Linked DNA regions of Schizosaccharomyces pombe. Changing the gene in region 3 together with the main gene of any one other region gives a genetic interaction. Each region holds a gene or a part of one and is shown on either strand. Other genes may lie near its edges. The genes, in order: mis18, nda3 and cnp1.

The links.
Region 1: of cnp1 (region 3) and mis18, extra expression of one rescues a mutant of the other (dosage rescue), as found in Schizosaccharomyces pombe (one study listed by BioGRID).
Region 2: mutations in cnp1 (region 3) and nda3 impair growth when combined (synthetic growth defect), as found in Schizosaccharomyces pombe (one study listed by BioGRID).

What each region holds. Positions count from the first base shown.
Region 1 is NC_003421.2:513,276-516,807, forward strand, and holds mis18 (kinetochore protein Mis18), read right to left. Parts: upstream 1,533-3,532; 5' UTR 1,496-1,532; coding exon 1,342-1,495; exon of another isoform or gene 1,297-1,341; coding exon 1,236-1,296; exon of another isoform or gene 1,189-1,235; coding exon 1,102-1,188; exon of another isoform or gene 1,054-1,101; coding exon 1,018-1,053; exon of another isoform or gene 977-1,017; coding exon 892-976; exon of another isoform or gene 836-891; intron 818-835; coding exon 656-817; downstream 1-655. Other genes in the region: dcw1 (mannan endo-1,6-alpha-mannosidase), read right to left, coding at 1-6, 53-265; rad16 (DNA repair endonuclease XPF), read right to left, coding at 1,631-2,047, 2,088-2,348, 2,394-2,519, 2,562-2,889, 2,929-3,277, 3,327-3,532. UniProt on the Schizosaccharomyces pombe protein: Component of the CENP-A recruiting complex that ensures the integrity of mitotic spindles through maintenance of kinetochore factors mis6/CENP-I and cnp1/CENP-A. Maintains the deacetylated state of histones specifically in the central core of the centromeres.
Region 2 is NC_003423.3:3,964,237-3,967,991, forward strand, and holds the start of nda3 (tubulin beta Nda3), read right to left. Parts: upstream 1,738-3,755; 5' UTR 1,689-1,737; coding exon 1,677-1,688; intron 1,641-1,676; coding exon 1,591-1,640; intron 1,540-1,590; coding exon 1,498-1,539; intron 1,457-1,497; coding exon 1,402-1,456; intron 1,313-1,401; coding exon 427-1,312; intron 342-426; coding exon 40-341; 3' UTR 1-39. Other genes in the region: GTPase Grn1, read right to left, coding at 2,464-3,755. UniProt on the Schizosaccharomyces pombe protein: Tubulin is the major constituent of microtubules, a cylinder consisting of laterally associated linear protofilaments composed of alpha- and beta-tubulin heterodimers.
Region 3 is NC_003423.3:3,536,448-3,540,202, reverse strand, and holds cnp1 (centromere-specific histone H3 CENP-A), read right to left. Parts: upstream 1,700-3,755; 5' UTR 1,603-1,699; coding exon 1,240-1,602; 3' UTR 1,000-1,239; coding exon of another isoform or gene 511-999; 3' UTR 40-510; downstream 1-39. Other genes in the region: pth3 (peptide release factor), read left to right, coding at 511-999; RNase P subunit Rpr2, read left to right, coding at 2,320-2,643; signal peptidase complex subunit Spc1, read right to left, coding at 2,778-2,843, 2,899-2,985, 3,031-3,114. UniProt on the Schizosaccharomyces pombe protein: Histone H3-like nucleosomal protein that is specifically found in centromeric nucleosomes. Replaces conventional H3 in the nucleosome core of centromeric chromatin that serves as an assembly site for the inner kinetochore.

The DNA.
Region 1 (3,532 bases), on a different chromosome or scaffold from region 3:
AAGTCCCTAAAGCCATTGTTGTTAATAAATTATACTTTTAAGCTCAACGTACATTCCAAGCAGCCCCGGCTTCCCACCAGTAGGCTGGAGGAAGGAACATCCCGATAGTTCCTCCTTTGTGCTGACCAGCATAATAATTCAATAATCCATCAGCTACTAAAGAAGTGGCTAAGTCAACGGAGGACGTGTCATTCAAATCCACCGAAATGGCTTCAGCGAAGGAAAACAAAATAGTTGCAAGTGAAATAAAGATTGTAAGACTCATTGAAAAAGAAGGATTAAATAGAGTAGTATCTTTGAAGATTCCCATATGTATCCAGATGACTGTCGCCCTTCATATGATTCAATGATGACTCATTAATGACTGATAGAAATAATCTAAACAGTAAACAACGAACGACCAAAGGTAGGGAAAAAATATAACTTAACGCAATCTATCTTCTATAAAATTCTTAAGCCTTTCAATGAAAATACTCTCACATTTATTCGTGAGACCGACAGCCCCATGCATATCACAATGAGCAAGAAGGAAAACCTTAGAAAAAATACATCAAAAAGGTATTATTTAAATTGTGTCTTTTTGTTTTAACCGCAATTTTAACTGTTTGAATATAACAGTTTGTACATGGTATCCCAGTACTTTCTAGCGGTGGACTTATTTCCTCGTTCGTTTAGAGTATGTTCTTGCCTTTTCTTTTTTACCTTCCTTTCCCTCAATTTTCGGTTTTTTTAAACTGGATATTGTCTCCTTAACTGAGCGTAAAGTTTCATCGTGAAGTTCGAACTTTTCATATAGAGAGAGACAAAAGGACTTCAACTACAAATAAAATTAGTAATTTATTCTTCTTAAAGTTTATTTTTCTCTACTATATAAAGAATCACTGTACATGCCTTTATAATGTCCTCTCTCATTTCTAAATCAACTTGATACCGTGTAAGGCCTTCAGGATTTACGGTCTTATTACCTAGTTGGTAGCTTCACTGGGGTTAGTAACTAAGATGAAATCATGAACTTACGCTTGTAATTTGTCCATTGAAAAAGTATACATATCTCTACATGATTTTGTTAAAATTTGGTCAACCAAGTACGACTAGACATACCTAATATCATCAAGATATATAGGTGTAGAATTATACACCTTCCCAATCACTTCATTGCATCTAGTACAACTCAACTCTGAATAGACGCTATAATTTTTGTATTAGTAAACTGGCGAGCAACACATGCAACATACCAAAGACCATCATCACTCCTTTTAAACGTATCCTCAACGCGTACACTATTTTCTACTGCATCTAAATGAAATAATTAATTACATGGACATTTCTTTTACCACATACCACTCAAAGTGAAACTAAGATATTCTCGATGAGAAATAACCCAAGCATTAGAATCACCAACTATTTGAAAACATTTTTTACATTGGAAGACGCTAGGTTGTGACTCTTTTTTAAAATCAATATAGCCCGAATGACTAGTTTCCGTCTGGGACATACTTATGGAAAGTTCATTTTATCTAGTAGTAGTCGTTATTAATTAGGTGCGCTTAACATTCTATATATGGTGAACCAATATATATCAGATGTAGAAGCAAAAATTAAATATATTACAAAATTATAAAAAAATAAATTACTCATAGTCCTTTAACTGTTTTCGGAAGAAGGAATAAAGACGCCTTCCTGCTTCGGGGCCAATTAGTTCTGACCATTTTCTTTCTGAGGTTTCGGAAGCTTCTTGAATATCTTTCACGCCTCCATAAAACACATTTCTGTAGTTTTTCATAGTTATGTATGGGAGTCCCATTAGCAGGTCGAGTGGAGCTTGATTATAAGTATTCGTTGAGTCTTGCCCAGCTTCCAAACCTATAGAGGCAGCTGAAGCAGGATCTGGTTCTTGTTCCATGGCTTTCAAATCTTGAAAAATAATTGATGTAACGTAGGCACTAGAAGACCAAACAATCCTTAAGTTGGGAAACGATAATGTTAACAGTACCAGTTTAGATTGAACATCATTTTTTCCAATTTCGCTTGAAAGGTCGGAGAAAGGCTAAAAGCTGTCAGACATAGATTGTTTTAGTCAGACTTACTGGAGATGTAAAAGATTGGTGTTGTTCGAATTCAATTAACAAAACTGGAATTTCATAATATTCAGTCATAGCTTCACATTGGGAATAAAGACGGCCATTGCTTAATGATTGGATCAAATCTCTAATTGACTTCCTTTCAACACAGATCTTTGGTGATAATATATAATCTCCCACTAAGAGTTGGCAAGGGATAACAGAAAAATTATTTCCATGTAATATGGAAGGTAACGAACTACGGAATTCCCTCAAGTCAACGATAACCTTTAACGTTTTAATACATATAAACATAAGATATAATGAACGTACCCTAGGTTTCTCATTTGTGATCGATAACTGTCCTCCTCCAGCTATACGAGTATTGACATTTCTTAAAAACTTTGACTCTTGGCTTTCGAACCTTTCGGAATCAGCCGTCAGTACGATAGCCATATTCTTTTTAGATTAGCAAGTTTTGAAAAGTTTAGAATAACTTACAGATCGTTCTTTAATAAGACGAGAGAATGAATCTTTCTCTCTCCTTACAGAAAAAAGATATTTTTGCTCCTCAATCGATCCTCCATAGTACATAAAATAAACCCTTAGAGATCTTTTGGGATATGTAGCTTTGTAAACCTCGACTCTTCGAATAAAATTGGGATCAGAATCGAACATAATAACGTACCGAGGTCTTAAATTATTTAATACTAACTCATCTCTTTCACCATTGTAGGAATAGATATAGATGGAATTGAAATCATCAATAACTTCAAATGCATCATTGCCCACTTCAGGTTCATAACGTTTGGATAAGTGTGAGAGCAGACTAGACTTATTAGCGTGTAAAACCTAATAATTAGCGTACATTTTCTCTAGGCGTAAATCCCTACTAAAAGAATCATTCGCATCTGTATTATCAGAAGTTGTGCGTGAAGTGGCATTGTTTCCACCTCTTACCCTTCTTCTCTTTGAAGGTGGAACACCTTTTCTAGACGTTGTATTAGAAGCCTCTCGCTCCTTGGAAGGCTCTGGTTTCTTGATTGATTTACTCATCTTTCTATATTGTTCTCTCCATTGAAAATAGTCCACTAATTTGCTATTCATATTTTTCAAAGAGTCTTTATTGTCGTAAGTCACCGTACTCAAATAATCACGTAACTGTAAACAAGTACGCTCATCTGCGCACATAATCATTATCGAATTATTGGATGTTTCTGAAAGATTTGTTAATATTTCTTCCTTTAAAGAGAGTTTTTTTTATACCTGCATCTGTATCTGCTAACATTGTTTCATGACACACTTCGTTTAATACGTCTTGCAAGACAGACCATTTCGGCTGTTCCTCCAAAATGGGAATCGCATCCATATTCGGTCCTTCTGATTCTTTGTATACTCGGTCTCTAGCGACACGGATCATTTTATTGGCGGCATCCAACATAAGCCAAGGAGAAGGTTGTGCATTAGATGGG
Region 2 (3,755 bases), 430 kb from region 3:
TATATGGCACACTTGGATTATAAAAAGGGTTATAAGGGTTTAATACTCGAGAGGCTCCTTCTCTTCTTCAATTTCATAATCTTCATCACCCTCATCGATACCAGCCTCCTGGTATTGTTGATATTCGCTAACCAAGTCATTCATATTAGATTCAGCCTCAGTAAACTCCATTTCGTCCATGCCTTCACCAGTATACCAATGCAAAAAGGCTTTTCTTCTAAACATTGCAGAAAACTGATCACCCAAACGACGGAAAATTTCTTGGATAGAAGTACTGTTACCAATAAAAGTTGCAGACATCTTGAGATCCTTAGGAGGAACGGAACAAACAGCTTTGAGGACTATTTCGAGGTTAGCAGATGAGCATAAACAAGTAGAAAAAATAAACTAAATATACAAACGACGTTTTAAACCAAGTAAACATACCATTATCGGGAATCCACTCAACGAAATATGCTGAATTCTTAGTTTGAACAGAGCGAATTTGCTCGTCGACTTCTTTCATTGAGACTTTACCACGGAAAAGAGCGGCAACTGTTAAGTAACGGCCATGGCGAGGATCAGCGGCGACCATCATATTATTAGCATCAAACATTTGTTGAGTAAGCTCGGGCACAGAAACAGCTTGAAATGAGCTTGAACCGATGGCGGCAAGAGGAGCAAATCCTACCATGAAAAAGTGTAAACGAGGGAAGGGAACCATATTAACAGCTAATTTACGCAAGTCAGAGTTCAATTCACCAGGGAATCGGAAAGATGTGGTTACACCAGCCATTACAGCAGAGACAAGATGGTTCAAGTCATCGTATGAAGGACTCTTGATTTTCAACGTGTTAGCGAAAATTGAAGAAAGAGCCTCATTATCAATGCAAAATGTTTCGTCAGAGTTCTCTACCAATTGATGCATAGAAAGAGTAGCATTGTAAGGTTCCACAACGGTATCAGAGCTTTTAGGAGCAGGAGCAACGGAGAAGGTAGCCATCATACGGTCCGGATATTCCTCGCGAATCTTCGAAAGTAAAAGAGTACCCATACCAGATCCAGTACCACCACCCAAAGAGTGAGTTAATTGGAAACCTTGTAAAGCATCACATGCTTCAGCTTCACGGCGAACAACGTCCAAAACAGCATCGGCCAATTCAGCACCTTCAGTGTAATGGCCTTTAGCCCAAATATTTCCGGCACCAGATTGTCCATAAATAATATTGTCCGGGCGGAAAAGATTTCCAAACTTTCCTGACTTCACGGCATCCATAGTACCGGGCTCTAAATCAACAAGGACTGCGCGGGGAACATACTTTCCACCAGCGGCCTACAGTCGTCAGTACTAAATAAACAAAAAAAAATTTTTTCAAAAAGTTTTAAGCAACCGAACACTTGTAAGAAAGCAAAAAAACCTACCTCGTTAAAATAAACGTTCAATCGCTCGTGTTGTGCCTCAGAAGTTCCATGATATCTACGTAAAAGTCAGTAAAAAAACAAGCAAAATAGACCTACATTCCAGCTGAATCCAAACCATGCTCATCAGCAATGGTAGACCTTCCAAGCGTTAGTTGAGAGAAACGTTATAACAAAGTAGATTTTGCTTACCAAAAGGCCGCACCGACTTGGTTTCCGCATTGACCAGCTTGAATATGAACCTATTGATTAGCTTTGAATATTAAAATAGCTCGTACAATCTCACGCATCTAGACTAATTTATGGTGGTTTGTTTTGATGATCAGTTTGGTGGTAGGTGAGTTTCGTTAGGAGGAACGGATTGAGAATACCAAAAGTACCAAATCGTTTTTATACGTTTCAGAAATTCTAAAAACACAGTTTATTGCAGTTATTTACTAGTAGGCTTTTAAAAAAAATTTTTGTGTATTTATTAGCCGATTGTTAATTGAAAAGAATCAAGTCTTAAATCATTGCTTATTAAATAGTTTACTTCTTTTATATACAAGCTTTTTTTCTTTTCTTTGGTAATGTATGTAACTTTATTTATTCTTTAGTTTATATACATAATTATTAACTGCTAAACAGATTAATTTGATATTATGCCATATTCAGTAGTAGCGCAAAATAGTATGGTTAGAATTGTTTGTGTTTATCCTATCAATTGATATAAAAATGAAATGAAACTTATAACTGCACGTTAGTATCAATGTCATTTTCCGTACATATTCAATTGACTTTATTTAAGCCAGCATGCATTGATTTAATAATTTCCCGTATTAGCGAACCTATTACTTAAAACTTCTCCCATATCAAACATTACTTTTACAAGTAAATGTAAAACAACACATTCAAGAATACGGCATATATGCAAAAAAAATTATTTATATATTAATTCAAAAAGTAATAGCTAGTAACCATCAACACCTAAAGATTTTTAAAACCCGAAGAAAAACCGCAACCGAAAACCAAATCCCAAAATATAAGCTCTAAGCAACAATAGCTTTTTTCGTAAGTTGAAAACTCTCAAAAATCATTAAGGTCAAATTCTTTGGCCCACTCAGTAACGATTTGAGTATCCTGAACTTCAGATGAGTTCTTTTCGTTTATAACCTCAGGCTCGGCCCACCATTCGATACGACCAGCATGCCAGTCATTAATGACAATATTGGCAGCAGCGTTAAGATTTGGAATTCCACCGCGACCTAGACGACCACGCTTACGAGCAATATTGACTAAAAAATCAGTAGCAGTGTCTATATCGGATGTATTCAATAGAGGAGGAAGCTCATATCTTTGAAACATTCTTTCCAATTGTCCTGGAACTCTGCTAAGGAATTGCAAAATGTAAGAAGCAACGGCAACGGGATCATCAACTTTGGTGGATGAAACAGCATTAAGCATTACAAGACGATACAAATCGTCTTTAGAATCACTAGAAGGAAAAACAATACCAGGACTATCGACCAAACGTAATTTGTTATCTAGCTTCACCTCTCGCAAAGAAGTAGTCATTCCGGCAACGTTTCCGGCAGGACAAGGTGCAGAACGACCATTCGCAGAACGGTTGACAAGAGCGTTAATAACAGATGATTTACCAACGTTGGGGTATCCAATTACACCGACTGTAAGAGAGCTTTTAAGCTTCTTCTTGGCTGAGTAAGACTTGAGTGATTTAAGAAGATTGGAGATAGTGGAACTAGCAGAAGCCGACTGGTGCTTTAAATTTGAGTTTCCAGATCCTGAAGCGGAACGCATAGGAATCGTAGGAAAGAAATTGCGGAGATAGGTAACCCACTTGTTGAGTACTTCTGATGGTACTAAGTCAATTTTGTTGATAACGAAAATAAGACGCTTTTCTTCAGCAGAAGATGCTAAAACTTGACGTTCAACGTCTTTTGAACGAGTCCCTTCAGGATCACGAGCGTCAAGAACGTAAAGAATCACATCTGACGCTTCAACAACTTTTTTGAACTCCTTATCATATGCCTTTCTAGAGGTATCTGCCTTCACTGATGCCTCATAAGACTCGGAGTCAACTAATAAAGGGGCCTCTCCAAGGTTGTCTTCTTCCATCACAAACTCTTCCTCATCATCTGGGTTAGACGCTTGTGCAGCCTCAGCTATCTTTGAAATCATTAGGGATCCATTTTCATCAACAGCGTCTTCCTCTTCCATTGCAGCATCAACTTGTCCTGAAGCACGACGAGCCAATTTTTCTTCTTCTCTAATGCGCTTCTGTTCTTCGATCTCAGCAAGAATTTTATCCTTGTAGGGGAATGAGTTAGGAATACCTGGATCTTTAGGAATTCTGCTTT
Region 3 (3,755 bases):
AGTCACGAGCAAATTAAAGAAAATTAAGACTTTTTTAAATTATTGAACGAAAAACTTTAGACTAAACAGAAGAGGTGTCAATTGGAAAGCAGGCAAAACACTACTCGAGTGAGAGTAAAGGTGAAAATAAAAAAAAAAAAAAAAATTCTTCTGTGCATGTAATGTAATACAGTATCTATTGCATTATGCCAAACAAATATTATTGGGGCAGTGTGACAATAGAATATTACATTAAAGAGTTTTAAACTTATGCAATAAGTGCGCAATTTTGTTCATCGATATTCCAACATCGTGAATTTTCTGCTAATTTAGAAGTTTCTGTTTTCTTCTTTTTTGTAACAGTAACCTTTGAGAAAAGCAATAATACAAAATCCCCTTATAACTTTTTAATGTATTAAGCAAGTTTCACGCTAATCAACCAGACCGCCTATTATCATTCCAAAGGACAAGGTTGTTTATTTTAGTCAAGTTTGTCTATTTATTAGCAGTAACACGTTTAGGTGAACATAGATGCTGTGCGCAGCACGAAAGTGTTTGAACAAAACATTTATTTCAGTAAGACTAAATGCATTTTCTTGTCTGGCAGAACTAAATTTTCGGCATACATGGTATTGCTCTAAAAAAGAAACACCTTATCAACTAGAAAGACTCCAAGAAGAAGATATTGAGGAAACATTTATATGTGGAAAGGGCCCTGGTGGACAAAAAATAAATAAAACTAGCATAGTGGCCCAAGTCAAACATATTCCGACGGGAATTATCGTTCGATCTCAAGACACACGTTCACGTGAACAAAATCGTTGTATTGCAAGGAAACGGTTAACGGAGAAAGTAGATGAATTCAAACACGGGAACGATAGTCTTTTAGCAAGAAAAGTTCAACGTATTGTCAAGAAGAAAAAACAGCGAGAGAAAAAAAGTAAAAGGAAGTATGGAAATAAGATTGATGACCAGGATTCCAGCCTGAATAATAATGAAGCGAAACAAGACGTGATCTAATTTGCGTTGCTTCGGTACTCACATGGCATTAACTAGGAGTGAGATTTATCATTCATTATGAGCATATTCGTACATTTTTTTTAATAATTCTTTGGTAGATAGCATGCTTAGAGTCTTATAATGAGTAGCTAAAGATCTGTCTCAAAATCACCTGATATCAATTAAACTGATCATACCTTAGCAATTCCAATTTCAATATGATTAAGCGTAAAACTATTTTTTTTTGTTGAATATATAGTGTCAAGCACCACGAATCCTCCTGGCTAATTGCATGTCTCGTTGCATAATCGTCACTCGTTTAGCATGAATAGCACATAAATTCGTATCTTCAAATAGATGAACCAAGAACGCTTCAGCCGCTTCCTGAAGACATTGCAGTGCCGTAGATTGCCAGCGCAAACCAACATCCGTTGAAAAATTGGCTACAAATTCTGAAGATATCTCTCGTACAATTCTTGAAAACGGGAGCCTTTGTATTAATAAGTCTGTAGACCTTTGATATTTTCGAATCTCTCTTAACGCCGTAGTACCTGGACGATATCTCTTTTTACGTGGCCGTGGAATAGGATCTCCAGGCTCAGCCATTAAAGATTTCTTTGCCATATTAAGTTGTTCCTATCAATTTCTTTTGGGAATAAAGGTTTTTAAACAGTAATTGTTGGAACAAATGCAAGAGCTCGATACAATGAGTTTTGGTTTTGACAGGGGTTTGACGCGTCGCGACTAGCATAGACTCTAAATTATTTAGCTCACTATTTAAAAATGTAAACAATCAAACAGAAGTTCTTTGTCAGAAAATACTAAAGCTACTGTTTTACAAGAAAATCATTAAAATACATGAAAATATTAGGCTCTTGTTCGTTCCACATCATCAGCTAAAAAGAACAAGTATTAATAATAGCTTACGAATATATGATTTCTCACTATTTATAGGTAAGAGAAATTAATCATATAAACCCAAGCGAAACTCAAGACCGATTTTTTTTTAATTGAATAAACATATGTGCTCTCTTTATATCTCGGTTATAATTGATCCAAAAGCCTTAAAAATTTATCGTACTCTTTTACAAAGAATTACATAACGCAGTTTACCGTGGAAAAACAAATTAAAAATTTGACCTATGGTAAAATCAGACTGCAACAAGCATTAACTATTTATTAATTAATTTAATGAAGGATTTTTATAAGAAACATAATTAAATTGTTAAGTTAAAAATAATTTTTTTGACTTTTGCATTCCATTATAAAAACGGAAAGTTGTTTGTTCTCTGTTTTGCAATTCCTTTAATAGCTCAAGTGTTTTAAACATAAACGGTCGAGATGAGTACAAAGTCAAAGGACCAACATGCAAGGGTATCATATTTATACCAGGCTTCGCAATTACTTTTTAGAAACGTTCAAGAACCTACATTGTCGAGACACTATATCTCTACAGCCAAGGATGTTTCACAAAAATCAGTAATGCGAATACACCCAGATATAAAGCGCACCATATGTAAAGGATGTAACTCTTTATTGGTACCAGGAAAGTCATGTTCAATAAGATTTGAGGAACCATCACGGAAAAATCCATCTATCGATCGTGTATTGTGGATATGCAAAAAATGTGCGTTTAAAAAAAGGTTTTCGGACAAAAGTTGTTAAAACATGTTTAGCATTACTTTTGGAATGAAAGATTATTTGTATTCTATAAAGCCGGAGCAACTTTTGTTTGGTATTTTGGTTCTTTAATTTCGCGAGATTGCGATTCAAGTAAAGAAAGATTCCCCATTTCCCGCTTACTCCTTTTTCTTTTGAAATTTTAAAGGGTTTTTGTTGTACATAGACCAAGCAGGAAGACACACCTATTTTTAAATGAATGTTAATATTACATGACTAGAAGCAAAAAAACTAGCTTACAAGAGCCACCAACGATGCTAAAATTAAAAACAATTTAATCACACAATAAGAATCTTGAACTAAATACCCATAAATGTACGAAATAACCTATAGATATATTAGTAAATAAATGAGATTTTATCCCTGACATACAGCACTTGTACATAGACCATAGTTCATATACTTTTGACACCTTAATTGTCCTGCAAAATCGATCGTACCTTCAAGATAGTTCATGGTATGCTTGCTCTTTCTCAAAACAGTAAAGTTGCTTTTTGTATTATGTGGTTACAACGAATGAATCTCGTTATCGTTCGGTTTACCATAATAACGTGTTGTAATCCAATAGCACGTTGTACATTGATGAATATGAAACAAAAAACAAGCAAAAAAAGAGGCATGAAAATATATAGGCAAATCGGTTGCTCCTTCATTTTCAATAGATGTAAATCAACACCTCAATGTCAAATTCGATTTGAAAATGAAAAAGCGGCTCATTGATGACCTATTAACATTATATAGAAATGATCTTTACAATTAACAGGTTAAGGTACTTCAGCGTTCATAAACGATTAATAATTAATAAAGATTCACCAACAAGGGCTTAATTTAAATGTATGTGACTTAAATCGTATATTAATTGCTTAGGTGGTTTTTTTTTTCATTTGGTGAAATTATCTTTTATTAGATGTGCGATTATCATAAATTTTGCTAGTACTTCATTGCTAAAAGAGGTCAAGTCTCCACTAACGGTATAAAACAAGCATTACACGTATACCTTAAGCAATTTGGGTCGTGCCAAAAGCAATTAGTAATGTGTAGCTGTTAAAGTTATTAGGTTCCATAAAATTAAGAGCTTATTGCTTCAAAGATTTGTC